Notamacropus eugenii: one gene and its partners. The protein of the gene in region 2 interacts with the protein of the main gene of each other region in a pairwise test. Links are inferred from orthologs where the notes say so. Each region holds a gene or a part of one and is shown on either strand. Other genes may lie near its edges. The genes, in order: CCDC121, RINT1, SFR1 and SGF29.

Region 1 (7,036 bases), on a different chromosome or scaffold from region 2:
TAAGCAGCCAGGGAAGCCAGTCAGTTAAATGTTGAGATGCTGGAAGATACTGAGATGGATTCTGTTTTATCATCGGAGGATGAAGTGAGTGAGGGAGGTATAGATAATTCCAGGAATTAAATGTTAAACAGCACTACAGAAGAAGTGCTAAGTGAACTTAACTCTCCTTTTAATACTTTCAATAAGCTATTATCTTAAGTCATTTTCCATAGATTTTTTTTTACCAGAAATAGGTTTTTAAATATGAACTTTTCTACTGTTGTGTTTCATCCCTCTTTCTACAGTCTGACTGATAGCCTTCTATTTCATATTCATTTCATTTTTTTTCCATTTAAAATTACAAGATCCTAGAGGCAGAGATCACTTAAGTTACTTTGTACAGCAACTAACAAAATCTGCTTAGGTGGATGTATAATAAATATTCTCACTAATTAGGATGAATTCATCCTTGGTTTGGTACCTGGGAGAGGGGCCAGCGTGGTCTTTGAACTGCTTTGTCCTTTCTGACAGGGAACAGCTCTTAGTAGTTGACGCCGTCTCCCTTCTTTGATGCTCTCCAGGCAACACTGCTCTAGCTGTAGTTGCTGCTTCTGCTTTCGAAGCCTGGTCCGCTGGGCCTCTAGCTGCTGGGCTTCTTGAATAAGCCGTACCATTTCCTTATGCAATTGTTCATTCTCATTTTGCAGTTGCCAGGTGAAATCAAGGATAGATTTGTCTGCTGCATGTTCCAGGATATGGTTGTGCTTTCCCATCATACTTTTCCCCAGCAAAAGCTCTACATCAGATAGCTGATGCTTCAGTGCTCTCCACTCTTTAACCAGATCACCTTGTACACTATGAAGGTGTGCTTTGGCCTCCTTCTGGACTCTTGGTTTTTCCATTTGCAGTGATTTGATAAGCTCCTCCTGGGTAATCTTTATTGTCCTCCTAGCATTTAATGCTTGAATCTTCTTTTTCAGTTGGGCTTGGGTCTCTTCTTGTCGCAGCAGCTCTTCCCGGAGTGATGATATATGGGACTCATAACTGGAGACCAGCTCCTGCCTTTGACATTGTATCTGCTCCAACTGTTGTGTCTGTTGATCCCATACCTTAATTGGTGCTACCTGTTTTTTCTTGGTTGGATCAGGTACATATCCCATTAGGACAGGGCTGTCACCTAAGAATGGTTGGATTTCAGCTTGCATGTGGCAATGATCATCTATGAGCTGCCTCCTCCGGGCTCGTGTTTGCATCAGTTCCCCATTCAGCTGGATCATTTTCTCCTCTACCTGTGCCTTTATTGCCAGCTCTTTCTGCACCCTTTTCTCCAACTCCTCCTGTGACTTTAAAAACTGCTGTAGCTTTTTGCTACCCATTAGCAAAGCAATATTACGATTCAGATTCAGATTCTGCCATATCATTCTGGGACCCCGAAAAAATCTGGGGGAAAAGCAGCCAGAAATATGTTATTTCTCCATTATACCTTTATGATTATTTGTGAGCTATTATTATTACCTTGATGTCACTTATCTTTCATGACACTCAGTGTGTCATCCTTCATTGGCTCAAGCCACCAACTCTTTCACCTCTCCTAAGCAACTCTCAAAAATTCAAAGGACAGTGTGAGCTGTTATGTTCAAAAGACATATGATTTCATTGTATGTTCTCCTCTTATTGACAGACTGCAACTCCTAATGTGCCTTTATAAATCACTTTATGAATTTCTGTGGTCAAAAAATTTATTATTCAGTAGCCAAACTCTAAGTAATGAAGCTTTTTTGATCTTAGCTAGGCTGGTCCTAGGGTGACAATATTTCCCAACTAATCTACTCTTTCCAGCTTGGTAGGATCTATCACAGCTTTTGACCTCTGGGTATAGACAAAATCCAAGGAGGTAGGGCAGATTACAGAAGAGGTGTACAAAAGCATGCCACTGTTTTGTAACAATAGATTCAGTAATGGCAAAACTCTGGATGTTCTGAGGCTGACAAGGAAATATAAAGTCAAAAGGAGTTTTTAAAACCTTATTTGCATTTCTGTCCCCAGATCCTAGTACAGTGCCTGGTAGGTGCTTACTAAATGTTTGTTGATTGACTGGAAGATTCCCTTTCTCTGGAAGTCCTCTAGCAAAGGCTATTTCGGGGCATGTTGTGGAGGGGGTTTTTGTCTCACATGTGGGTTGCTCAAGAAAGTCTCTGAGGTTCCTTCCAACTCCTTACCTGAGGTAGATGCTCTGTCCAGTGCAGTACAAGAACTGGGAGAAAAGTTGGGAGAATCTTTTTTTTTTTTTTTTTAGCTGTTTATCCTTTGCCATCTCTTGCTAAGCTAACCCTTTCCCCCCATGGGTCTCTGCTTTGGAGAGGTTTTCCTCCTTTGCTCCCTCCGACCCTTTTTGAGCTCACCTGTTACGAGTACTCAAATGTTGCTGATCCCAAAACTGCTGGACACGGTGCACAAGGGTAGCGGGGGTGGAGGCCAGGGAAGGAACTCCACGCGAAAGATTGAGTCTCATGAGTTCCTCCCTGTGGAAGCTTCTGGGAACCCAACAAGTGTCGACGTACAACCCTACAGGAAGATTGACGTCCGGTGACCACTTCTGAGTTTTCCCAGGGCCAGAGGACCGAGAGCTCTTGTCCTGGTCTGGGGTCTTGGGCACCGTACAGAGGACACAGTAGTCGCCTTTGCCCACTTCTTTCCTGCCTGTGGCAGGCTGAGCCTCGGAGCTCAGGGTGTCGTCGCTCTCTTCCCGAACACTTTCTTCTCTGGAGGACTTAGAATTCTCGTCCACTTCCCAGTCCTTCCCCAGTTGAGTCGAACCCAACTTTTCGCCATTTTTGTCGCCCGCTCTCCTCACCACTTCTTCACCTGTGCTTTCTTTTTGCACCCGCTCTGGAATATCCTTGATCCATTCGAGCCTCAGAACGTCTTCAAAACCAGTCCTGGGACCAGCGACGGAACCCAGGTGATTGGATTCTTCTTCATATTCCACCCCAGTCTCAGGTCCCTGTGCAGGCTCCGCCCCCTCTTCTGCCCCCGCCTCTGATTCTACTCTACTCTCAAATCCCAGTGCAGGCCCTGCCTTTGGCCCCGCCCTTGGCCCCGCCTTCGATTCCGCCCTACTCTCAAATCCCAGTGCAGGCCCTGCCTTTGGCCCCGCCCTTGGACCCGCCTTCGATTCCGCCCTACTCTCAAATCTCAGTGCAAGCCCTGCCTTTGGCCCCGCCCTTGTCCCCGCCTTCGATTCCGCCCTATTCTCAATTTCCACGGCAGGTTCCGCCCTTGGCCCCGCCTTCGATTCAGCCCTACTCTCAAATCTCAGTGCAGGCCTTGCCTTTGGCCCCGCCCTTGGCCCCGCCTTCGATTCCGCCCTACTCTCAATTTCCGCGGCAGGTTCCGCCCTTGGCCCCGCCTTCGATTCCGCCCTACTCTCAATTTCCACGGCAGGTTCCGCCCTTGACCCTGCCTCCTCCTCCTGGGTCCCTGGCCCTGTCTCCAGATCCGACCTAAACTCTGATTCCGCTCCGTTTTGCCCGCTTGCCGTCGGACTGCTACTCAGTCTCATTTCCAGCATCGCTCTGCGCAGGCGCTGCCGTACACACTGGCAAGATGGATTCTTCTGCGGGAGCGGCGGCTCCGGAGGCAGAGGGCCCCCAGCCCCGGCCTCGGCCTCCAGTGTGTCTCCTGGTGCTGGGGATGGCGGGGTCTGGGAAGACGACATTCGTACAGGTGAGGTGGGGAGAGGCTCTTGCTGGAGGGGCCCTGGCCGCGGCTGCCCGGGGTAGCGGTGGTGGGATGGCGGGAGCACCTTCACCTTCGCCTTGTCTCCCGCAGAGGCTCACGGGATACCTTCACGGCCTGGGCTCGCCGCCCTACGTGATCAACCTGGACCCTGCGGTGCACGAGGTCCCCTTCCCAGCCAACATCGGTGAGTCGGCGCGAGCGTGGGCCCGACGTGTGGAGGAGCCCTAAGAAGTTGCGGGTCGAGCCGGGCCTGTGGGCTCTTCGACCACTCTTACACCGCCCCAGCGTCCCAACCTGGCGCGGTCCCTCCCGGCCTCCCCCTCTTCCTCTTGTCCGGCTGCCCTGTTCGCTCAGCTGGGGATGTTATGACGTCATTTACTAAGATTTGGGAAACTGAAGGGACAAAAGGTCCGCTTTGCAACAGTCAGTCAGTAAGCATTTAAGTGCCGTCTATGTGACAGGCACCGTGCCAAGTGCTGGGGATACAAGAAAAAAAGGTAAAAGACATTTAAAAAACGATCAATGCTCCTACTCAAGAGGAGCCCACTGTCTAAGAGGGCAGACTTGAAAAAAAGCTATGTATAAATAAGCTATGTATGGGATAAATTTGGAACTGAGGAAGACATTTAACTCAACAGTAGACACTGAGATGTTCTAAGAGGCTCAGACTGTTCTTAGAGTCCCAAGAAACCTGGGGTACTTTATAGCACCTTGAGGGCAATTACTGCTTTATTTTATGAGTGGAAATGCTTAATGCATATTGATTGATCCAGTCTTACAATCTACCAATGGATCAACATCTGACAACTAAGTGACATTCAGTCTACGTGGAAAGCCTAAGTGCCAACTCTAACATCCCTGAGGAGTTCAATCATGAAGGCTGCCTGTGATCCTGAATCTGCCCCTGTCCATAGGACCTCCTTCCATTTTTGCGCAGTTCACTTGTTCCCATTTAAAGAACTTCATCTTTTTCTAGACAATGAAAAAATTGGAAAAGAAATTCTCCTTTAAATCTGTGACCCTAAGTTATTGACTCCTAGTGTCACTTAGGCTTCTTGTATTTTAGGGCTTCCTAATTCCCAAGCCATAGTTTTATTCTATTTCTCACCTTTTTGGGTAACCTTGAATTATGTTGTCTTTGGTCATGAGATGGCTATAAATTGGAAGGCAATCATTAAGCCAAGATACTAATTTTAGTTTGCAACAGTGTTGAAGACTTGGACTGAAAAGTTATTTCATTCTCTGTGTCCAAAATTTATTTGTTAAGTAAATGATTTGCTAGGGGAGAAGCAAAGTGGAGTAAGTAGATGGAGACCTCCCTTGACTAGGAAGATCTAAATTCAGTGCTCCTGGCAACTCTAATTAGTTGCCAAGGTGCCACCCTTCATTTATACAACTCATTTCCTCATCTGAGAATTCTCTATACCAATGACATCACAGTTCCAATCCCTTTTTCTATTCTTATTCCTGCGCCCTTGGGATACAGAACCAGAATATTCTCTGTCCTTAAGGAATTTAGGTTCTATTGTCTTGTTCTGTGTTCTCCATTCCATTCCATAGCCCCTTCCAGTTTATTCCTTGACATCTATTGAGTCTTAGTGTCTTTTAAGCTATTTTCAGAGGCAGACTACTAAAATGAATCTACTGTTTCTTAAAAGAGTACTCCTCACGAAATAAGGCCCAAGTGAAAATGGGATCATAATTACTTGAAAATATACTTAATTGTACAAATTTATATGCATTTTAATTCAGAAAAACTTTTTAAGCTGGATCATGCCTTAAAGTTATTTTTTCAAGTACTTCTATAATAAATGCTTAGTGAAAGGTTCATTAATAAATTCTATTAATTCTGCTTAAAATGGCTCATACTGTATTGTAAGCTGCTCAGAGTTAACACCTTTTGAGAAGATCATTGATAGAGTGGAGTGTATCTGGAGAAGGGCAAACTGGCTGAGTTGGGGACTTTGGAGACTTTACTAAATGTGGGTCATTTAAAGAAAGTAGAGAGGTTTAGCTTGGAGAAGAGTATGTAAGGGGAAAACGATGTTATGTGGAAGAAATATCAGACCTTAGAAGTCAGTAACATAACAACTCAGATTTATTTGGTGTGTTAAAGTTTACATACAACTTTCCTTACAGAGACAACAGGGTATAGTGGATAAAGCAATGACTTGGAATCATGAAATCCTGGATTCAGATCCTGTCTCAGATAACTTTATAGTTGTCTGACCCAGGGCAGATCACTTAATAACTTCCCTGTGACCCAGTTCCTTCATCTGTAAAATGAGAGGATTGAACTTGATGGTCCTTAAAGCCCCTTCCAGTTCTAACTGTACGATCCTTTGAGCCCCTTGTACTGTGTTCATATTAAAAGTATTGTGTGTATTTTACAGATAAAGCTTAAAGAAATTCCTTCCCAGAGTTACAGCTAGGAAGTATCAGAACCTGGTTCAAACCCAGGTCTTTTTGACTTCAAGTGGAAGGTTTTTTCCATTATGTCATGCTGCCTTTCCACCACAGAGCAATGAGTGGAAGTTTCAAAAAAATAAATTTTCGACTTAACGTAATTCAATTTAAGTTAGCAAGCATTTATTAAGTACTGTCTTTGTACCAGGCACAGGCCTTAGTGCTAGGAATACAAATATGGGCAGGAAGAAAGATAGCCATGGAAGGCATTCAAGGAGCTTACATTCTAACATGGAAAGACAATATATAAAAAGAAACTGAGGGGTTGTGAGGAGAAAAGGAAAAGTGAGGGCATGGTATAGAAAAATTTTTAGAGAGTCAGGATTAGATAAGAATGAAGGAGTGAACATACTTGGCCTGGACACTTCCTTAAAATGGAGGTTCCAGTGTGTTAAGGTTTACAAATAGCTTTCCCTGTAACACCCTAGAGGCAATATAGTATTGTTGATAATGCACTGGACTTGGAGTCAGAAAATTCTCAGTCCTACCTCAGGTACTTTCTAGCTGTATGACCATGGATGAATCATGTGAACTCTCTGTGACACAGTTTCTTCATCTGTGAAATGAGGGGATTGGTTCTTCTAAGGTTTCTTAAGGACAAATGACCTAACAATCAGTTTGTCCAGAAGTGGGACTGGCTTTTTTGGGACCTGTAGGTTTGCAGGTGAAGGCAATGTGACCATTCACTCAGAGATTTTGAGAAGATTTTTGTTCAGGAGTTCAGCATTAGATGAGTTTTGAGGTTCCTTTCAGCTTTGTGTGGGATCTAGCTCATGTTGTGGTAGGAGGTGTGTCTGTTGGAAAGTCTAGTTCTTGATTTCTCCCCTCCCCACTTATGTTATGAGCTCCT
Region 2 (7,784 bases):
CAGCCCTGCCCTCACCTGAGCATCTGAATTTAATCTCACACTGAATAGCAGCCCTGCCCCCGCCCAAAGCCCTGAGGCTGGAAGCAGCATTTGAATCTCAGACCCCAAACACTGGCTGGGAGGATCAGGAGGTGAGGTGGGTGTGAGGAAAATATTCAGAGGTCAAGTCACTGGCTGGGAAAATGCCCAGAAAAGGGAAAAGAAATAAGACTATAGAAGGTTACTTTCTTGGTGAACAGGCATTTCCTCCCTTCCTTTCTGATGAGGAAGAACAATGCTTACCATCAGGCAAAGACACAGAAATCAAGGCTTCTGTGTCCCAGCCCACTCAATGGGCACAGGCCATGAAAGAGCTCAAAAAGAATTTTGAAAATCAAGTTAGAGAGGTGGAGGAAAAGCTGGGAAGAGAAATGAGAGACATGAAGTCAAAGCATGAACAGCAAATCAGCTCCCTGCTAAAGGAGACCCAAAAAAATGTTGAAGAAAATAACACCTTGAAAACTAGCCTAACTCAATTGGCAAAAGAGGTTCAAAAAGCCAATGAGGAGAAGAATGCTTTCAAAAGCAGAATTAGCCAAATGGAAAAGGAGATTCAAAAGCTCACTGAAGAAAATAGTTCTTTCAAAATTAGAATGGAACAGATGGAGGCTAATGACTTTATGAGAAACCAAAAAATCACAAAACAAAACCAAAAGAATGAAAAAATGGAAGATAATGTGAAATATCTCATTGGAAAAACAACTGACCTGGAAAATAGAGCCAGGAGAGACAATTTAAAAATTGTGGGCCTACCTGAAAGCCATGATCAGAAAAAGAGCCTAGACATCATCTTTCATGAAATTATCAATGAAAACTGCCCTGAGATTCTAGAACCAGAGGGCAAAATAAATATTCAAGGAATCCACAGAACACCGCCTGAAAGAGATCCAAAAAGAGAAACTCCTAGGAACATTGTGGCCAAATTCCAGAACTCCCAGGTGAAAGAGAAAATATTGCAAGCAGCTAGAAAGAAACAATTCAAGTATTGTGGAAATACAATCAGGATAACACAAGATCTAGCAGCTTCTACATTAAGGGATCGAAGGGCATGGAATAGGATATTCCAGAAGTCAAAGGAACTAGGACTAAAACCAAGAATCACCTACCCAGCAAAACTGAGTATAATACTTCAGGGGAAAAATTGGTCTTTCAATGAAATAGAGGATTTTCAAGCATTCTTGATGAAAAGACCAGAGCTGAAAAGAAAATTTGACTTCCAAACACAAGAATGAAGAGAACCATGAAAAGGTGAACAGCAAAGAGAAGTCATAAGGGACTTACTAAAGTTGAACTGTTTACATTCCTACATGGAAAGACAATATTTGTAACTCTTGAAACATTTCAGTATCTGGGTACTGGGTGGGATTACACACACACACATGCACACACGCACACACACATAGAGACAGAGTGCACAGAGTGAATTGAAGAGGATGGGATCATATCTTAAAAAAAAATGAAATCAAGCAGTGAGAGAGAAAGATATTGGGAGGAGAAAGGGAGAATTGAATGGGGCAAATTATCTCTCATAAAAGAGGCAAGCAAAAGACTCATTAGTGGAGGGATAAAGAGGGGAGGTGAGAGAAAAACATGAAGTCTACTCTCATCACATTCCACTAAAGGAAAGAATAAAATGCCTACTCATCTTGGTATGAAAACCTATCTTACAATACAGAAAAGTGGAGGATAAGGGGATAAGCAGAGTGGGGGGGGATGATAGAAGGGAGGGCATGGGGAGGAGAGTGCAATTTGAGGTCAACACTCATGGGGAGGGATAGGATCAAAAGAGAATAGAAGTAATGGGGGACAGGATAGGATGGAGGGAAATATAGTTAGTCCTATACAACACAACTATTATGGAAGTCATTTGCAAAACTACACAGATTTGGCCTATATTGAATTGCTTGCCTTCCAAAGGGAAGGGGTGGAGAGGGAGGGAGCTAAAGAAGTTGGAACTCAAAGTGTTAGGATCAGCTGTAATGTTCTTACCACTAGGAAATAAGAAATACAGGTAAAGGGGAATAGAAAGCTATCTGGCCCTACAGGACAAAAGAGAAGACAGAGACAAGGGCAGAGAGGGATGATAGAAGAGAGAGCAGATTGGTCATAGGGGCAATTAGAATGCTTGGCGTTTGGGGGGGGAGGGGAGAAAAGGGGAAAAATTTGAAACCCAAAATTTTGTGAAAATGAATGTTAAAAGCTAAATAAAAAAAAAAAAAAGAAAAAAGAAAAAAAGAAGAAAAAAAAAAAAAAAGAAATGAGGAGCAGGCAGATTTCAGAAAAACCTGGAAAGACTTGTATGAACTGATGCTGAGTGAAGTCAGCAGAACCAGGAGAACATTGTACACAGTAACAGCCACATTGTTTGATGACTGACAGATAGACTTTTCTTAGCATGCAAGGATCTAAGACAACTCCAAAAGACTCATGATGGAAAATGGTGTCCACATCCAAAAAAAGAACTATGGAGTCTGAATGTAGATCAAAACACATTATTTGCTCTCTCTTTTTTCTTTTTTTGTTTCTTTCTTGTTTCTCATGGTTTCTCCCATTGGTTCTAATTCTTCTTTACAACATGACTAATGTGAAAATTGGTTTAATATGAATGTATACGGAGCACTTATATCAAATTGCAGGCTGTCTTGGGGTGGGGGAGGGGAGAGATGGGGAGAGATTTGGAACTCAAAATTTTATGGAAGTGGATGTTGAAAACTAAAAATTAATGAATTAATTAGAAAAAATATAGTCAGGGTGGCAGTTCAGTAGTAACTCCAAATTCCAGTATTAATTTACCTGAAAAGCACATCTTTCCCTAGTACAACAATCATTATACCAACTGTTTGTTTTAAGAGAGGTTCACATATATTTCTTCCCAATAGTCAAGATCATGAAAGGAGAAAAATAAGACCAGTGCAAGGGTGATGGAGTGGAAGAGCAGGTGAGACCAGTGATTAGAAGATGAAAATTCTGTTTTGGAGGAGTGAGGAAGAGATGGAAAAGGAGAGGAGAGGAATATAGGTTCAGACTGCATAATGACCTACATGTGAACCAGGAAACCAATTTTCTGTTCATGTTTTAAATTTTCCTGGATAGTATTAAAATGCATTCTTTGAGGCTCCTCTGATATCGTCCCCATGGGTAATGCCACCCATGATGATTTCGACCCCTTCTAGACCTTAGTCATTTCATGAGTCTATGGTCAATCTTCCCCTGGTGACTCTCTCTAAATCTGATAAAATAGTCCTCTAATGCAACAGATTCAGTCTGTCACTAAGCTCATTTATTAAAATCCAAATGTTACCAAATTACAACCTTAAATGGAGAAGAAAAAAGTTTGTTTTCATTCCTCTTCACTTTATTTTTTTTAAGTATTATACTACCAAAAGTATAGTTGTTAAGTGTCAGTGACTGAGGTCTGAATACAGGATATAGATGAAGATGACTGGGGGAAGGAGGAAATTAAATACAAATTTTAAATACACATTTTAGGAAATAAATCCCAGCACCTGAATAAACTCTTGTTTGTTTATCCCATCTTGTGTTCACTTTTTTTTTTTTAACAAAGCAGTTAAAAGTTAGATCCTAACTAAAAAAGTTCATTTGAAAAAACTCCACCTTTTTCTTGCCTTTAACTGGGGTTCCAAATTCTAATAATCTCAGATGATGTTTGTATCATTGCACAGGAACTGAACTCTTCCTAGTTCCTAACCTTCCTCTTCCTCTTCCTAACCTCTATTCCTAGTTAATCTTGAAATTTCTATTAATTTTGAGTTAATCTTGAGCTCATCTTCTTTGCTGAAGAGTGTCTAAGAGAATCACTCTTGACAAAATTAGAAAGCAGAAAATTTGGGAAATTGTATTTGCCTTAGGATCCTCAAAGTCTCAGATATAATACTTTATATTATATAATACTTTCAGACACAATACTTTCCTTCAGAGAAGGGTTGGAAGGGCCAGGAATACCTCTTCAGTTGTCATAATCAAGGAGTGAAGGAGGTGGAGGTAGAGTCATGGAGTCAGGGATCATTAAAATTGGACCTTGAAATTCAGCCTCTTCATTGGATAAATAAGGAAATGGAGGCACAGAGTCATCTGGGGAACTCTGGTTCAGTGGAAAGATCAATGAATTTAAGAGTCAGAGGACCTGTGTTCAAATTCTGACTTTGTCAGTTATGACTATGTGACCCTGGGCAAGTCTCTTAACCTCTCTGGGTCTCAGTTACCTTGTCTGTAGAATGAGTTTGGACTCCTACCAGCTCTAAATCTGTGATATTAGTGAATCGCTCAGAAGTGATAGGAGTTTGTGTTGGATTATCCACTTTCCTTAGTGACTAACAGCCCACATTTTGGGTACCCACAACCCTTAATAAAGGCCAGGACACTTGTCTCCTTTGAGCAAAGTTAAAAGGCATAGAAAAACAATGGACCAGTTATCCCAAATGCCATGCCATTAGGGTGGGGAGATTTGGTTGCATATATTTGCCATCATGCAAAATTTGGAAGGTGGTACTATTGGCATTTTTTTTCTTTAAAAAAAACAAACAATTTCACAGTATTTCAACTTCACAAAACTATAATGGTGTGACTGCACTTATGGATTTTATTGTTTAAATCTTCAAAATAAAATACAGAGGATTTTAGGTGCATAAAGCAGTATTCCTTGCTACTACAACTGTTCTCAACCATCATCTGCAAGATTTGTGATCCATTAGTAATAACAATAGCTAACATTTTATATAGTGCCTTAAGATTTGCAAAGTCAAAGTACTTTCCATATGTTATCTCACTGGATCCTCACCACAACCCTGTGAGGTAGGTGCCATTTTACAGATGAGGAAACTGAGAATGAGAGACACAGCACCATTTGTCCAGCAAGGTTCAAATTCAGGTCAGCCTGACTCTATGTCCAGTGCCCTGTATCCACCATGTCACTTCTGTTTGCCTCCATACAACATGCAAGCTTATGATTAGTAAATGTAAATGTTACATATAATGCGATGTCATTATTGGTAATTCTTGATGTTTACTGCTGCTACTACTGCTGCTGCCGCTACTTTTTAGAGGCATCTCTACTCCAAATCTTCATTTGTGCTGGACTTATGGTAGTCTCCCAAGCTCAGCCACAGTACACCCCGTACCTTGACCCCAACATAGTGATGTCATTTTGGTCTTCTTCAAGCATAAAGGACAACAACCAACCAACTACTACCAGTACTATCACTACGACCATGACCCAGGTTCCTAGGAAGTTCTTAGACTAGCATCAGGACCAGTTTTTGTCTGGCCTCCCCGTAAGAACTGCAGCGCGACCTCCAGGCAGGCGGTGGCGCCACAGGCTAGTTATCCGCGGCCGGGGAAAACGAAGAGTGTGTTCCTCTGGGAACGAGGGGAAGGAGTCAGCGAGTTCGGGAGAGGAAGTGGCGTGGGCGGCCACCGCGGCATCCTCCGGGTGAAACGCCCGTCTCGGCGTCTGCGAGTCCGGTCCTGGAGGGGCTCCCTCGGCGCCTCTCACAGGCTGCCCCGGGCAGGCGGGCTGCGCATGGAGCCGAGAAGACGGAGAGCAGACGGCGGCCGGCGCTGAGCCGAGGTCAGGGGAGACCACGCGGGCCGGGGGCGAAGGACCTCCCCTAAGTAAAGCCCGCGAGAGCCTCCCAGGCGGCTTACGCCCGGGAGGGCTGCGGTGCGGTGTCCTGGGTTCGAGTCCGAGCTCTGACGCTTATTACCTACCCGTCCCAGGCCAAGTTACCTGACCTCCCTCCACTGCAGCTTTTCCAGCCTGCAAAGTCAGGGAGGACTTGGGGGTGCATTTCTGGGGGGGTCCGTGAATTCTGAACTTTTACAACTTGTTAATAGCTGAAAGTCTCCAAAGCTTTCTCTGTGATCAGGGTCGATCTGGACGTTGTGCCTGTACCACCCTAATGCAGACTGGTGGGCGCCCACCGTGTGCCAGTCTGGGCGGGGCGGGGAGGGACGCGGCGTGCCAGCAGCTTGTAGAAACAAGAGAAGTAAAAAAACTGAGTAATAAAGACAAACGCGACAGGGTGAACTGGAAATACATCCGCAGATTAATAAATAATTCCTAAGGGGGCGGGGACACCAAGAGTAAGGAGACTTGAGAAAGGTGGCACTTTAATGGAGACTTGAAGGAAGGCCAGGGAAGCTGGGAGGCTGGGAGAAGGATGAAGCCGGTGACAATGCTAGGAGCTTCGGATGGAGTGTTGGGTGTGGGAAAGAGCCAGAAAGGCGGCGTGTCCTGGTGGGGGAACGTAGGGAGAAGGGTAGGAGGGAGCCAAGTTTAACTGATGGTTTTCTGTTTCATCTGGATGTCCTGGAGAGCTGCTGGAGCTGATTGAGGGAAGGGTAGAAGTTGTCATACACTTAGGAAAGATCAGGGGTGGGCAGGAGTGCAGAGAGACTGGGCAGGAGACCAGTCAGAAGGCTGTGGCAGTAGTTAAAGCTTGAGGTGTAGGAAAGGCAAGAAATATCAATGATCTCCCACATTATTTACCCCGTCGGATGATGACCCTTTTCCCATATGGTGTTTTGTATATGATAAATCTTTGTTACCAGCCTGTAACTTAGTAGCTAAGTCTTAGAGAGTTACCTGAAGCACATGGAAGTTAAAGGATTTAGAGCGCACATCTTACACCAAAGTGTCAGTTTAATAAATGCTTGTGGATCGTCTGAGTGATTCTAGTGTGCCGTCACGTGTATGTTCTGTAGCATACAGTTGTTGTTATTCAGTAAATTTTTTGCTTTACAATTTAAAAAAAAATTAGGAGATCTAAGAATGGCAGCTCCTGTCAGAAAAGAACAGACCAACCAAGATGTAGATACCTGTGATATCCCCTCCTACGTGTCTGAATTTGTGGAAAAGGAAGTTGGAAATGATCTTCAATCTTTAAAGAAACTTGGAAAACTCATAGAACAGTTGACAAACAATAAAGTACAATTAGAAGAACAGGTAAGTATTAAAAATTAAAATTGAATTGTACATTTGATGAGTTCCTTGCACATTTATGTAGAATGAATAGCTGTTGGTAAAAACAGGAAAAATATTCATGGCATTTTGACTTTGGGATCAGGAGAGTTAGGTAATAGTTGTATAGCTCTTAAATTTATAAAGGATCCACCACCTATTAAGTATTCTGCAAAATAAATAAAAGACAAATTTCCTACTTGAATGACATTATGTAATTGGAAAAATGATGTTGGTAATGTTGGTAACATTTTATGGAGCTTTTATTATAATTACTTTAAAATGCTTTTACACTTAGTTGTATTATTGTCTTTTTGGCAAAGATTAAGAAATTTTCTTTCTACTACATTGGTGAAAAATAAATTCTGTGTCCATATTCTTTTTTTCCCTGAACAGTGCATACTTTTTGTAATATATTGTTGTTTAAAATATATTTTTACCTATGTCGCTGTCAAAATGGATGCAAGATTAGCATTCCTAATCTCTTATATTTCCATAATATGGGAATCTGTAGTAAATCTTACGGTACCATTCTAAATATAGGAAAAACTTCCTCTTTTTCCCTTCCCTCCCCTGCCCTCTCCTATCCTCCCCTCCCCTCTGTGTATAGCAATACCTTTTTACTGATTTTCCTCTTATTTTATCACATTTAAATATAAACAAGCTACAGTCTAGAGTGAATGATGTTACTGGTTCTGCGTGACACAGAGAATCCCTAGTTGTTTAGTTGTTACAGGGCTTTCTCTCGAACCCCAAATTCCCTGAC
Region 3 (7,863 bases), on a different chromosome or scaffold from region 2:
TGATCGTCTGGGATCATATGGGATAGCTGAGTAAGAGAGTTTATCATTTTATTGTGAACTTCTTGGTATTATGGAGGATGCTTTTTGAAATAATTTCATCCCAAATTATTGAACCTTTTTTGGGAGAAAGATTAGGGTGTTAGGAAGTAAAGTCACGTTTTAGCGTAACTTTGTATTCTCCTGGTTAAAAAATGCAAATGTACATCCCAATTATCACAAGCGTCAGGGTGAATACTGGGCAACTTTGCCTTACTTAAATCCACTTGCTCATGATGTCATTGGTCCTCTTTGACAACAAAGGGTGAACAACAACAGCCTGGTTGCCCAAAGCAAAGCTTGATGTCCCTCCCCCCCTTTGATAATGTTTAATATTTAAGTTTTTCATACTTACCCTAGTCAAACAACCCAGATTGCAAAGACTGATTGAGAGTCAGCACATTATGATAGCCTATCATTTTGGCTTTCTTCTCAACTGTTTTCATGAGAATTATTTGCTTTTATTTATAGCACTATAATGTGGCCTTTAAAGATGGGCTGTATTTAATATAGTGGGTGGTTTTAGTGCATGTTTCTAATACTTTAACAATCATTTTAAATCAATAGCAAGATTGTTCGACATATAGACATTTGGCTCTGACAATAATTAGTTAGGTCAAGGTGTTTGGGGGGACATTGCTGCATATGCTTAAATGCCCAAGAGCCAGGGCAGGAGTTAGCGGAAGACTGTGAGAAAGTTACTGAGCTCTAAAGAAAGGAGCTAGGCCACAATGTTCGAGGACTGTTTCTGATAGACTTAGCCCTTCCCAGCAACACAAGAACCTAAAACATTCCCAAAGGACTCGAGGGAAAATGCCATCCACATCCAGAGAAAGGACTACGAAATCAAAATGCAGAAGGAAGCAGACTATTTTCTCTTGTGTTATGTTTTGGTTTGGTTTGGTTTTTCTCATGGTTTCTCTTATTTGTTTTAATTCTTCTATGCAACATGACTTTTGAGAATATAACTGTAGAACCCATATAAGATTGCATGCCATCTTGGGGAGGGAGAGGAAAGGGAGGAGGAAAACATTTAAAACATATGGAAGTGATTGTTGAAAACTGAAAACAAATAATCCATTAAATTTTAAAATATATATATATATATATATAAAAGGAAATGAAGAAAAGAGGAAAAGAAAGGAGGTAGAATGATCTGGATGTGAAAATCTGGACACAAGACAAAGTTTGGACTCAGATAATCAAGAGGGATGTAGTGAACTTCAAAGAAGCAGATGCTTGCTGAATGATGATAAGAAAGGGACAATTTGAAAATAAGAGTAAGGAAGGCGTATACCTATTCTTCCTCTGTGGGATCAAAAATTGTCCAATCTGCAAGAAAAGTCCCTCAGTCACAGCTCCAAGCCAATAGCATATTATTAAAGGGTCCATGGCCCCCTCTAATGAAGTGGACCTCATATCTTCCTCGCAGTTGGAGACACCCTTGATCACCAGGACCTTGTTTATATAGGATTGATACCTGGACGCTTGAGAGGCGACACAAAATACAAAATCCCATTGGTTGATAAACCTTGTTTTGAGGGCCAAAAATGGTGCGTCAACTAAAAAACAGTTTATCAGCAAGGGGATCCTAGGTTGGGTAAAGCACACAACGTCTCTATTGACTAATTATTCATAATATGGCAAAGCAATAGTCATCTTTGGTGACTAAGGAGTCATAAGATGGTTACCTTCTGGGACAAGAGAGAGTGGTTTGGAGGTACAAAAATTAGCTGGGGAGACTTTCCAAAGAATTAAGGCATCCACACTGGGTTTGGACTTGGAATTTGAGCAAAACAGGATGAAGTTATCTTTGTCAGCATTCTTGTGGGTGTGCAAGTGAGCTTTGTAACTGGTAAACAAGTGTTAAAAACTGGATTAAAGTTGGAAGCCTACTATAAGAACCTATCTTTTCTAATTATCCATATATGATTTACATAAAATATCAAATTTATTAATACTGATTAGAATAGAGTAGGGGTCTAAATGAACCTTTCCTCACACCTTCTAACCCACTATGATAGGGAAAATGAGAAAAACACAGAAATTCAGACCCAGAAGGGACTGCAGGCTCCATCTAGTCTAACTCATTGCTGAAAAAGAATCCCCACAATACTGCTCCCCCACATTTCCCAGTCCTAGAGAGGGTGGCCAGGGGTACAGGATGGTCTGTTCAAGGTGGGGAAGTATTTTTTAAAGGTTATAGTAAAAAATGAAATAAACTGCAAGGAAAAATACTAATAAATGTGAAAATTTGTGGTGCTTTCCGATTTCATGCAAGTAATAACTCCCTTCTTTTTTTAAAAAAAATCTCTTCTCTCAGTTGTATCGACCACACTTCAAAACTGAAGCTCTGGGTAGCAGCCATGAAGAAGGATCCTGCAGTATCAGCCTTCCTGACAGATGAGAAAACTTATCAAAATTTCATGGATCTCTATTTTCAGAACAGTCCTGAGGCCTGTGATTATGGTCTGTGAGGGGAGAGTGATCAGCAGAAAAGGTTCTATACCTTGCTCTCTAGGTTTCCCTCCATACTAATAAAAATCATATCCTGTATGGAATGTTGCATAATTTTTTTACAGATTGTTCTCATACCCATCCTCTCCTTTACACTCATTCTGTTTCCTTAGCTTGATGCTTCCTCTTTGCATGTCCCACAAGGCCTTTGAGCCTTCCTCTGGATGTCTTACTCCTACAGTGAGCTTGTGCTATCAGCTCTCTACTGATTATGAAGATTCTCAAATCAATATTTTCTACATTTTGGTCTCTTAATGCCTGAAGCAAATGTTTACTTCAATGTGTTGCTGTCAACTTGAGCTCACAACTGTAATGGAATTAATCTTGTCTTCACCAATGGAACTCCTTTCTAATTAAAAAAAATTGTGGGATACAGTTGAATGTTTATTGGAGTAATTGCTATGGATTTGTACGTAATCAGAGGATCTGGGTCCAGATTTTGGCTCTTTTGTGAACAGGGGCAAAGGACATCATCTCTCAGCTTCCTCTCTTATTAAAGTGAAGATCAGAACAGCTACCATTCTATCAGTGCAGCCTCTCTATCTCTTATCTCAAAGCCCTTTTGCCTCTGGCAGCCTGGAAAGCTGCAAACCTCTAGAGGGTGGCTGCCTACTTCTTTCCTGAGGGTTCAAGGTGTAAAGATGAGTGACTGGGGGTTTCTTTTTAATGCCATTGCCCAGCAGCCCCCAACTGATTATGAGGTCCTATCAATTAGCTAGCCAGACTTAACCTTTAGAAAGAAGTATTGATTATGCTAGTATATTAAGAAGAGTGCAAAACATCTCCTCCCATCCCCCCAAACGGGAGTACTGCCACAAGTGCATATAAAGTTCAGGGAAACGTGGGCTAGGCTTGGAAATCACGTGTGGCAAAGGGGTTGCTCCTTTTTGTAAACTGGAGCGCACTCTAGGGAATTTAGATCTCTCTTCTCCCCAAAAGGGGAAAACAGCCTGAGAACACAAAGGCCAATTCTTGAGATCCAAATCCCCCTTTTCCCTAAAGGGAAGAAAACCAGAGAAAGACAATGCCTATGAAATTAAAGGTTTTATTAAGCAGGGAAATAAGACGTGCATGGGAGCCGTCAGCCTAATGCTGAACAACTCAACTGAGCAGTGGGTAGGATGATATAAAGAATTGGGAGAAAAGGCAGGAATTAGGTTGGTCCAAGGAAGGAAGGAAGCAGAGGGTCCCATTCCCAAGGGGAGGGGGAGATCCAGGAAATGGGTAGGGGAGTGGGGAATTCCAGGGGTCAGAGCCGTGGCCTTTTGATGGATAAATCAGAAGATACTCTTGGTAATAACCAACCTTGACAGCTACAGGCTTGAGCGTAAACAATAAGTGTTTATCATAAACCCAGGATCAGTGTGTAAGCGCCCCCCAACAAGAGTGAGGGGAGTCTCCGAAGGTAAGCTTGTACCTCGAAGGTCTACACCTCACACAAGCGTCTGCTTTGGGGTGAAGCGCTCACTCGGCTTCGGAGCTGCCCAGGCCTGCGGGGACGTCACGCCACTTTCCAGCTCAGCTCCCCACTTCTCGGTGGGATCCCTGCTGGGGAGCAGGCGCGTTCACAAATGCACTTGTACCCTTACGTAAGGGGCAGCGCTCTGCCGCCCCCCGCGGAGTCCTGAAGCTGGGCCTCCCCTGGGCCTGGTGGAAGGCTTGGGGGGGGAGAAGACCGGCTCTCCCCTCCCACCCGGGGCTTACCCGGCTCTCCCAGGTCCCGCGGACTGTTGTTTTTCCCGGGCTTTTCTCGGTCAAGCACTGGGTGGTTCACCATTCTCTTCTCCAACTTATTTTACATTTGAGGAAACTGAGGCAGACAGAGGCCTTGCTCCGGGTAACACCGCGGAGCGGAGAAGCCACATCAGAGCTCACACCCCGACCCCGGGCCGGGGCTCCCCTCCGGGCCGGGGCTCCCCCGCACTGCGCCGCCAAGCCGCACTTCCAAGACGACGCCTCCGTCTTACGTAACACAGGCTATGAGAGTTAACCCCCAAAGCACTAGGAAGTCATGGAGGGGGAAGGGCCAGGGGATCTCAGGGATTAGGGAATTCCCATGGGGCACTGCGCGGGGAAGGAGGGCACAGCGGCGTCCGAGCCAAGGATCCGTTTCAGGAGAAGATGGAGGGGGTGGGTTTGTGAATTAGGGCGTGTGCAAGGCCGAAGTTCGAATAGGTTCGAATTCTGCCTTGGATTCTAGCGGCCTCTTGGACCTCGTCGAGTGTAACCGGGCGGCTGCAAAGGGAGATGGCCCCGATCCGTTCTGTTGTGGAAGCTGGACTTGAAGCGGAGGGGATGACGCGGTGGCAGCTTTGGACTACGTTTACCAAGATTCGGGGCCTAGACGTCCTTACGTAGCTCTTTAGGGAGTGGCGGAATAAAAGCGCGCAAACGCCGAGGTAGGCTTTTTAAATATCTAGTAGGAGTTCCAGGAAGCAAACAAAAGCCCCGCCCCTCCCCGCCCCCCTCGTTCCTGCCCCGCCTTTTCCGCTCGGCTGACCAATGATGTCTCGTCTCGAGTTTGGTTATGTTTCCCGCCAAGCGAAGAAGGGGCGGGGCGTGGATGCCGGTGGCCTGTAATCCCCACCCCAGCGCGCGTGCGTACAGCGAGGCCGTTTCCTCTGTCTGGAGTGGGTGGGGCCCATTCTCCTAGGCGGCCCGCGCTTCTGGCAAGCGCCGCCTCAGGTGCGTTCTCGGACCGGAGCGGCAGCGTGTGTCCCCGGCCCGCGAGTAGGAACGAACCCCGTTTCTGAGCCGAGGCCGGAGTCCCGGCCCAGCCAGCAGCTGGAACCGCCCTCCCCAGAGGCACGCTGAGGCAGCTGGGCCTGGGGTTCTTCTGGGCCGCCCCGGGGCCGAGCGCGCCTCCGGCCGGGCTGGGGCGGGGCTGCAGCGGAGCTTGGGAGCCGCGGGCCCCGGCCCCAGGGTGGCCCGAAGCCTCGGGTCAGAGGCAGCCCCCCTCGGCCGCGGCACCGGAGTCACAGACAGGCCTCAGAACTGGGCTCGGGTCCGGGGAGGGAGAGGTGGTTGGAGGTTGGAACCTAGTTTGTTTCCTGTTTTGTTTCTAGAGCAGACCTGAACGTCCTCCTGTCCATCCGGAGATGGACCTTCCCTCAGCTAAAACCACGTCCTTAGCGGCTGCCCCCGAGGCCGGCGACCCCGGGACACTAACTCGGAATAATAGTCCGGGGAAACAGGTAGGAAAAGCGCCCCGAGACCTGGCAGCCCGGGCGCCGGCAGCCCGGGCCCTGGCACCCCTGGCAGCCCGGGCCCCGGCACCCCCGGCGCCCCCCTGCCTCTCCAGGCTCAGGCAGCCCCCGTGGGAGATCAGATCCAGAGATGACTCGTTGAGGCCGCTTGTTTGATGGAGAAGGAGCCAGGGTCAGTGGAGGTTAGGTTTTCCCAGGCAGTAAGCAGCAGAGGTTGGATTTGAATTCAGGCCCCTGACTCCTCGCACCGTCCTCCGTGCTTGGGAAGGTGTTGTTGAAGCCCATCCCTCTCCTCCAGAGCCAGCCCCTGGACGTTTCCTCCTGAAGACCTTTCCCCATAGAGGTACCCTGGGGGTCCCTCACCTCCATCCCTTTCTTAAATCACTTTTCTTGGACCAGTCCTTTGCATTTATACTTTTTCTTGTGTTTTTTATAATAATCTTCCGCCCTTCTCCCCCACCCTCCTTTAGATTAGAAGCTTTTAGAGATGGGAGACGGCTAGGTGGTCCTGTGGATAAAAGGGTAGACCCAGACTCAGGAAGACCTGACTTCAGATCCAACTTCAGACTGGGCAAGTTACTTACCTCTGTTTGACTCAGTTTTCTCAGCTGTAAAAAGGGATAATGCCAGTGTTGTTTTGCGGATCAAATGAGATAATATTTGTAAAGTCCTTAGCACGGTACTTTACAGATAGATGCTATATAAATATTTATTTTCCCCCCACTTACCTGGGCGAATCTTTAACTTCTCAGAGCTAAAGTTCCTCCTTTGGTAAAATAAGAGTTGAATCAAATGATTTCCAAAGTCTCTTTTAACTTTAAATCCTATGATCTACTTTATACACTGTGCTCTGTAATAGAAACATTCAGTCAAGGACTATACATTCTACTTCAGTAGAGTTAAAGCATTTTGCAAATCTTTTAAAAAAAACCAAAACACTTTAGTCTTACCATACCCCATCCTTGTCTTCTCTGTGGTGTAGTGAAGTAGTCATTTCAGTTCAGTAAAAAGCACCTTCTCTCCGCTCTGCTTAATTATGACTGCCAAGTGTTTATTTAGTCAGTCAACAAACATGAAGCATCTGTTAGGTTCTAGGCACAGTACCAAGATCTGGGGAGGCTAAAGACAATCCCTGCCCTCATGGAGAACAAGATCTACAGGGAATGACCACAAGTAAACAAATAAGTGCAAGCAAGCTTTATTTTGGATAAATAAGAAATAACAGAGGGAAGGCACTAGAATTCATTTCTTCCTGTAGAAAATGAGATTTTAGTAGGGACTTAAAAGGAAGCCACTATTGTTTTTGCATGCAATTGGGAAATAAGATGTTTGGGTAAGAGGTATAGAAATCTGTCTTGCCCAAAGGTAGGGGTGATAGAAGGGATGACAGATTGGGAGAAGGGGTTTTTGGGGTTGCTGTCTAGGGGTAGGGATTGGGGAGAGAAGGGGAGAAAATTGGAATTCAGAATCTTGTGGAAGTGAATGTTGTAAACTGAAAATAAATTATATGTTAAAAAAAAAATTTTAAATCAAGAAAAAAAAAGGAAACCAGTAGATGGAGATAATGAGGGACAGCATTCCTGGTATGTGAGACAGCCAGAGAAAGTGCCCAGAGCAGCTTATTTGTTTGAATAGCCAGGAGGCCCAGTGTTTGGATCAGAAAAAATGTGATGGGGAGTAAGGTGTAACAAAATTGGAAAGGTAGGGACTAGGTTATGAAGGGCTTTGAATGCCAAATAGAGGATTTTGTATCTGATCCTAGATTCCATAGAGAGCCACTGGGGTTTATTCAGGAGAGAGGTGATGTGATCAGATGTGCACTTTAGGAAAATTACTTTGGTGACTCAATGCAGGATAGACTGGAGTGAAGAGACCCACCAGAAGGATACTAGAATAGTCTAAGTTTGAGGTGATGAGCACCTGAACTTAGAATGGTAGCAATGTCAAAGGACAGAAGGTGGCATCTGAGATTTGTTTTGAAGGTGAAATCAACACCTTGGCAACAGATTAGATATGGGGAGGGTATGAGAGATAGTGAGGACTAGGGTAAGGTCCAGGTTGCTCACCTGAAGGACTAGTAGCATGACATTGATCTCTGTAGTAA
Region 4 (7,298 bases), on a different chromosome or scaffold from region 2:
TTTTGTAGATCATCATATTTCATGATTTGCAACCATATAGTATTAACAAGGAAGCCAGGGAAGGCAGTAAGCAGATGAAGAAGGACATTTCAGGTATGAGGGACAGTCAGAGAAGATGCCCAGACCCAGAGATTAAAAGATCTTGTCCATGAAATAGCAAGAAGACCAGCGTTACTGGAACACGGAGTATGTAGTGGTGAGCCAGGTATAAGAAGGCTTGAAAGGCAAGAATGATCTTGAATTCATTCTACCTCTCAAGCAGTGTTGTAACTCTGAATGATGAGATTAATAATGAGATCTGCCCTGGACAAATGGGCTGGCCAATGAAATGAAGACTTATCTGAACAGGATATTCACAGAACTCTGAGCTTTCACCCTTTGCCTGCATATTCCTGATTACCTCATCTCCTTGCCCTCGTGGCACATTTCCTGTATTAAAATCCCTAGCTTCTCCTGACTGCTGCTGCTGTCTCACTGAATTAGAGTCCACTGGGTGCATCACTCCAAATCGATGCCCTTACTTGATTTGGAGACAGTCTGAGTCTGAATTCTTTTGAGACAACATTGAGACCCATGCCCTGCACTTCAACATGAAGATGTGGTCTGCTGCAGAGAATCATCTTTGAAATTCTATTTGTTCCATTTTGGTATTTTCGTGAAGAACACCCATTACTAAGTGTAAAGATCATTTTCATAAACACCTGACATAGGTGAAAAGCAGAACTATGAACTAACTCCTAATATCTTCTTGCACCTTTTCTGACATTAATGCTGTGATTTTTACCATTTTTACAATCTTCTCTTCTTAGAGGATTTCACTTAATGTCAGGAAGACCTGAGTTTAAATCTTGACTCAGACACTAGGTGTGTGACCCTGGGAAAGTCACTTCTTAGTCTACTTTAAGTTCCTCATCAATAAAATAGGGATAACAAAAACACCTACCTCCAATGGTGCTTGTAAGAATAAAATGAGGTATTTGTAAACTGCTTTGCAAACCTTAAAGTATATAAATGCTAGCTGTTTATTATTATGATGATAATGGTGATGATGATGAATAACAATGCCTTTTAAATTGTGTTGTGTCCAATACAAGATTTTGTTTGGTTGAGTCTTCAAATATTTGAAGAGTTATATGGAAGTGGGATTAGACATTCTCCTTGGCTCCAGAGAATAAAACTTGTACAATGAATGTAAGTTACAGAGAGGAAGTTTTAACTGCTAACAGTTACAATTGTCCAACAATAAAATAGGCAACTGTGTGGAATGGCTCAGGTCCCTACATAAATCAATTACTCAGAGGACTCTCAAAGTGATGACAGAAAAGTGATTTATTCGATTCTCGAGAAGCGGGGCTAACCTGTAGGAGTAGGAAAGCTGAAGACAAAGAAAAGGGCAGTGATTTATATAGACCCTAATGCAAGTCCCTCCTCCCCCCACTGACCATCATCCTCATTAGCTGAGAATATGATCTTACATTCTAGACACGAAATCTAACCAATCCCTTTTGAAATGAAGACATCGAGGAATTACATAAGTTTTATCCAGTCATTGAGACCCTAATATACTACACAGTTTTATATCCTTATATGGAACTATTCTATTCTAAAAATATTGTAACCTTGAGCCTCTAGGTCTTACCTCACTCCTGGGAGAAGAATTACAATCTGAGAAGTCTTCACTAAACCTATCCCACTCACTCCCTATTGAGGTAATGAGCTCCTTGTCACTTAAAGTGTTGCAGCACAAATTTTGCCCTAAAGAAGATACGAGATCCCAAAGAGATCATAAAAATGGGAAAGGGTCTCATGTACAAAGATGTTTATAGCAGCTCTCTTTGTGGTGGCCAAGAACTGGAAATTGAGGGGATGCCCATCAATTGGGGAATGGTTGAACAAATTGTGATATAGAAATGTAATGGAATACTATTGTACTATAAGAAATGATGAACAGGAAGACTTCAGAGAGGCCTGGAAGGACTTATACGAAATGATGCTGAGTGAAAGGAGCAGAACCAGGAGAACTTTGTGCACAGCAACAACCACAGTGTGTGGGGAATTTTTCTTGTAGATTTAGTTCTTCATAGCAATGCAAGGACCTAAAAAATTCCCAATGGATTTTTGAGGCAAAACGCCTTTCACATTCAGAGAAAGAACTATGGAACTGGATCGCAGAATGAAGTAGACCATTTTCTTTTGTATTATGTTTTGTTTTATGGTTTCTCCTATTCATTTTAATTATTCAACATGACTACGGTGAAAATGTATTTAATAGGAACATATGTGTAGAACCTATATAAGATGGCACGCCATCTTGGGGAGGTGGTGGGAAAGGAGGGGGAGAGAGGGGAAAAAATCTAAGATACATGCAAGTGATTGTAGAACACTGAAAACAAATAAAATAATTTTTAAAAAAAGATATGAGAAGAGACCTACACCCTTCTCCTACTCTTTTTGCAAAAATGGGGGAACTATGGGGTTTACAACATTGAATATATTGTCAGAGTTTTTTAGATATATTGATTGGTTTTTTTCTCTCTTATTTTTCATTTTTAAAAAATTCTTTGTTACAAGGGATGACTATATGGAAGATGCAAGGGAGAAGGATATAAGAAAAAATTAGGTGATGTAAAAACAAAAGATTATCAATAAAAATTTATGTCTTAAAATGTTTAAACAGATGCTAGGTAATAACAATTATTATTTATATAATTAGCTTTATAAAAATCGTCTAGTTTCTATCTTCACAAGGACCCTGGGAGATAGGTGCTATTACTGCATGAATTCACAGATGAGAAAACTGAGGCAGAAAAAGCTTAAGTGACTTACCCACCTAATAAATGTTTGAGGTAGGATTTAAATTCAGGTCTTTTTCATTCCAAGTACTGTGCTCTCATCATCTAGCTATTAGGAATGAGTAGTGGAATTTCATTAGGAAGGTCTGATTAGATAGTGATTAATCTGAAATTCAGAATTTGTCCTGTATTACTTGCTACTGTTTTATATGCATTCCTAGAAACTGAAGGTGAAGGATACAAACATCTCTCTAAACTCTTCATGCCAAGTCTTTCAGTTCTATGTTTAGTGATGCTAACCGACCTAACTAGGTAAGGTCCCAGTGATACAAAGTAGCTGTATGATCTGCGTGGGGGAAACACCTACTTTCTTTCAGCCTTAGGTGTCTTCCTTATTAAATGAAGAGACTCAGTTGGATGATTTCTGAACTGTCTTTCAGCTCTTAAGCATCTGTCACTCAGTGGACCCTAGGACAGGTACCTACTCTACACTTCTCCATCGTCCTCAGCAACGACCCCCCTCACTGATGATACTAAGAAGTAGATGGTTTGACTTCGGGCAACTAGGGGGGCGCAGGGACAGAGTGCTGAGCCTGGAGTCAGGAAGACTCACCTTCCCGAGTTCAAATCCGGCCTCAGACACTTACTAGTGGGAGCGTGGCCCAAGACCTGGGGGTGGTAGTAAGCAGGGGAGCTGGTCCTCTGTGGGTTCTGCCCCTCGACACCGCCCACTGCTCCTTTTTCTGCCCAGGTGCAGGCTGTTATCACCTGAAACATCGTTCTCCTGTACCTCGGCCACACCAATTTTCCTAAAATACCTCTTTCAGTATGAAAGCCCTTGTATGACTCCCTCTCTTCTCAACTCTACCTCCGTTTCCTCATCTAGCTGGAGAAGGAAATGGCAAATCGCTCCGGTATCGTCCCCAAGAAAACCCCAAATGGGGTTCCGAAGGGTCGGATACGACTGCACAGCAATTAGCAGAAAACCTGAGCTCCTAAGGCTCTGTAATACAAATCCTCTACAGATGAACGCAGAATCTAGAGGAACGTAAACCGGGAACGTGTAACAGGAAAAAAGACAAGATTCTGAAGCTTGCCAAACGCAGGACTTAAAACTACATTTCCCAGCAAAGAGCACGCCGGGCCAGCGCGTAGAAGTCGAGTCCCGGGTCCCTTTCCGCAGTCTCTTTGGAGAGAAAGACTACATTTCCCGGCAGGCCATGTAGGTGCGCATACGCAAGCGCACTAACATTCCCTAGCCCGGGAACGAGGATGAGAAAAGTTCAGGGGGGTTGTTGCAGTTGCCGTCGCTGCGGTCTTCATCGCCTCCGTCACAGTGGGCTCGTTTTGGCTCGTCCGCGGTAGGTGGGTTTAGGTAGCAGCCATGGGCCTCAGGCGGACCAGGGGAGCGGGGCAGCGGGGAGCGGCAACATCTCACCCGTTGTGCTCCCCCCATCCCGGGCCAGGCTGTGGTGCCCCAAGACACTAACAGTACGCATGCGCACCCTGCGGGGCTCCGGGAAGGGGGGCTGCGGGGAGGGGGGAGAGGTCACGCACCCGCCGCGGAGGGTTCTTTGTTCGCCGGGGCCGCGCCTGGCGTACCACGTGGGGGGCGGCCTTTGGAAGCACGTGGGCTGGTGGGGAGGAGGCAAAGCTTTCCGAAGCACGTGCTTCGGTGCGAGGAGCGCGGAGCGCAGGAGGAGCTGCGGGCGGCCATGAAGGAGAGCATGGCTTCGGCGGGTCCTTCTCCCGAAAGCCGCGGTAGTGATAGTGGCGGCCGTTTAGAAAGCCCCTTAGAGCGCTCCTTCCTGCAGCGCCACGAGGTCGGTAGCGCGAGGGAACCCCGGGGCTTTCCCGGGAGCTTGGGGGCCGACTTGAAGTTGGCTTAGTTCTTGTTCCCCAGCCGCCTTGGGAGGTAGGTAGTGCCAGGATCACCCCGTTTAACGGAGGAGGACACAGCGTCACCAGGTATCCCAGCCTGCCCAAGGTGCCGGGGCTGGTAGTCAGTGGGGGAGCCGGCCCCCTGGGGGGTCGCCCTTCTGCGCAGGTTCTGGGGGTTGTCCCCCGAATCATGGCTCTCCCGCCTTTCGGTCTGAAAGCCCTTCCCTGATCTCCTCTTTCTTGTGAGATCAGGTCCAGACTCCTTTGGTCGGAGTTGACAGGGAGCCCAAATGAAGAATTTTTCTAGGTGGAGACTTGTGTATGTTAGAAGGTAGTGGGGTTGCAGCTGTGTAAAGGGAGAAGTTACAGGTAAAAGCATCATATCACGCACCCCCAACCCCTTCATTTCCTTCATATGAAAACTGAGCTGCAGAAAAGCCAAGGGATATGTCTGAGAACACTTCAGGTAGTAAACTGCTGGGATAATAAACAGATGGGGAATTAATCCCCCAAATATTCTGATTTCTGTTGTAAAAAAGGAAAAAATTATGGGAACAAATCCCTTTGGGAGTTATAAGGGATGAATTTAGGAGGACAGCAGATTTCCTTGCTTTTGGTCTTTTCCCCCTTTCCAAAGCATCTTATTGCTAGAATAGTTTGAACGCTGAATTTGGAGTCAGAGCACCAAGAGTTCAGATAGCAACTTTTTTATTTACTACCTGTATAGCTTTGGGTAAAAGTGGCTTTCTCTCTGGGCTTTCCTCTCTGAGGAAGCTGACTTACAGATCTCTGAGGTCCTTTCTAGCTGTAAAAACTAGGTTCCATTAAATCAAAATTATCCAGGGTCCTTGCAGTCCAGGGCCCCTTCAAACAGTTACCTTACTGTGTCTTTTCACCTGCTATTGCTTCTATACATGACCCTTCTTTTTTAACCCCACTTGTCTTAACAGCTTCTGCAGGTGCAATGCTATCTCCTCCTTGTTGTTGTAGGTTCCCCTTCAGTAGAATTTCCCTTGTTTTTTAGTAATCTTAAGGCCTTCTGCTAAGACACATTTTTGCCTGCCAAACCTCATTTAAAACTTGGAATTTCCTTAATACCTGTCAGTAGTTTGAGACCTACTATAAACTAACTCAGTAATTCATAACTGATAAAGTTATCGTTTTTTCTTAGTATTAGCCTCATAGAATCTGGAGTTGGAAGGACATTTTAGTGATCACTTAGTTTTACAGATGAAGAAACTGAGACTCAGAAATAAATTTATTTGCATAAGGTCACAAAGCTAGTGAGTGGCATAGCTTTTAGTCCCCTGACTTCAAATCCAGTTTTTTCTCTTATCTCATGGATATTGCTTTTCTTCTTGATAGATTGTAAGCACGGGGAGGACATGGACTAAATCTTCTTTTTAAAATACCCCTGTTGTTATTGCAATGCCATGCTTTCTGAGCAACTTGTTTGCAATTGTTGCTGGATGAATTAAACTTACTGAATGCCCCAGTGTGGTTGGTCCTTTAGGAGCCTCCCCTCCCAGAGGTTTTTGACCATTCTTTTCTTCCCTTCCATTCCCCTTTCTCACAGAAAGCCATATTTACCACAGCCATGGCTCTGGTGTCAGCAGACTCGAGAATAGCTGAACTACTCACGGAGCTCCATCAGCTGATCAAGCAAACTCAGGTGATACTTGATTCTTCTCCTCAGAAGAGGGGATGACCTTGGGAAGACTCAGAGGGTGATTAGAAAGGGAATTAAGGTCCCATAGGCTTCCTTCCTACAGTGCTGAAAACATGATTTTAGAATAAACCAGTATTAGAGGTGCTGTTCAGTGCCAGAGGAACAGCGTTGTAAGTGGTGGTTCCTGAACAGAAAAAAGAACAGAAGTCTGGGGGGTTGGAGAAAAGGCTAGAGGACAAGTGAGCTTTAGGTCTGAAGGACAGGAGACTAAAGGGAGCAGAGGTTGTTGGACAATCTGATAGCTAAAATTGCAACTGAATTGGCTATAAAGTATTAATGATGTTATTTTGAAATGTTGATTAGATGTTCCTAAGTCATAGTAAGGGAAGTGAGATATTCAGGAAGTTTGGGGGTTTTATTTTCAAGTTTTATTAATTTTTTCTTCCCCATTGTACCATTTTAAATAGTTAAGCAAAACATGGATGAGGTATATATATATGTGTGTGTATACACACACACACACACACACACACACACACACACACACACACACACACACACACACACACATATATAGGAGAAACTAGGTATGCATAATGGTTACAATAAAGTTGTGGATAGGTGTATGTTTAAGCAAAGTTTTATTGATGAAAATAAGTAAAAACCCTAACCTTCCCTGCTTCCATTTCTTTAATTTCTCTCTTGTAACCAAAAAAAAAAAAAAATGAGTAAAACCAACCAACATAGAGACCTCCATCTGCATCTGAGAGACGTAGGGAGCGCAGTGGAAAGAGCATTGGCTGAGGACCCAGAGGCCTGGGTTCAAATCTTGTCTTTGATGCCGTCTGACATTTCAGAAGTGATATAACCTCCATGAGCCTCAGTTTCTTTATCTGTAGAAGGAGGAGGATGGACTAGATGACAATCTGAAGTCCTTCAGCTCTCAGATCTTTGAT

What was found.
Region 1: the proteins of RINT1 (region 2) and CCDC121 interact in binary tests that used the Homo sapiens proteins (3 or more experiments, as listed by UniProt). The two-hybrid records come from large-scale screens. The link is inferred for Notamacropus eugenii from reciprocal best matches to the Homo sapiens genes RINT1 and CCDC121.
Region 3: the proteins of RINT1 (region 2) and SFR1 interact in binary tests that used the Homo sapiens proteins (3 or more experiments, as listed by UniProt). The two-hybrid records come from large-scale screens. The link is inferred for Notamacropus eugenii from reciprocal best matches to the Homo sapiens genes RINT1 and SFR1.
Region 4: the proteins of RINT1 (region 2) and SGF29 interact in binary tests that used the Homo sapiens proteins (3 or more experiments, as listed by UniProt). The two-hybrid records come from large-scale screens. The link is inferred for Notamacropus eugenii from reciprocal best matches to the Homo sapiens genes RINT1 and SGF29.

What each region holds. Positions count from the first base shown.
Region 1 is NC_092872.1:528,878,810-528,885,845, forward strand, and holds the start of CCDC121 (coiled-coil domain-containing protein 121), read right to left. Parts: upstream 3,003-7,036; 5' UTR 2,294-3,002; coding exon 2,199-2,293; intron 1,420-2,198; coding exon 461-1,419; intron 1-460. Other genes in the region: GPN1 (GPN-loop GTPase 1), read left to right, coding at 3,586-3,705, 3,811-3,904.
Region 2 is NC_092874.1:150,325,950-150,333,733, reverse strand, and holds the start of RINT1 (RAD50-interacting protein 1), read left to right. Parts: upstream 1-4,783; 5' UTR 4,784-5,626; intron 5,627-6,818; 5' UTR 6,819-6,829; coding exon 6,830-7,003; intron 7,004-7,784. UniProt on the Homo sapiens protein: Involved in regulation of membrane traffic between the Golgi and the endoplasmic reticulum (ER); the function is proposed to depend on its association in the NRZ complex which is believed to play a role in SNARE assembly at the ER.
Region 3 is NC_092872.1:182,659,595-182,667,457, forward strand, and holds the start of SFR1 (swi5-dependent recombination DNA repair protein 1 homolog), read left to right. Parts: upstream 1-4,845; 5' UTR 4,846-4,952; intron 4,953-5,101; exon of another isoform or gene 5,102-5,358; intron 5,359-5,618; 5' UTR 5,619-5,651; coding exon 5,652-5,747; intron 5,748-6,057; exon of another isoform or gene 6,058-6,102; intron 6,103-6,229; exon of another isoform or gene 6,230-6,330; intron 6,331-7,863. Other genes in the region: glutathione S-transferase omega-1-like, read left to right, coding at 1-30, 2,360-2,513. UniProt on the Homo sapiens protein: Component of the SWI5-SFR1 complex, a complex required for double-strand break repair via homologous recombination. Acts as a transcriptional modulator for ESR1.
Region 4 is NC_092872.1:46,715,769-46,723,066, forward strand, and holds the start of SGF29 (SAGA-associated factor 29), read left to right. Parts: upstream 1-4,295; 5' UTR 4,296-4,507; coding exon 4,508-4,615; intron 4,616-6,249; coding exon 6,250-6,345; intron 6,346-7,298. UniProt on the Homo sapiens protein: Chromatin reader component of some histone acetyltransferase (HAT) SAGA-type complexes like the TFTC-HAT, ATAC or STAGA complexes.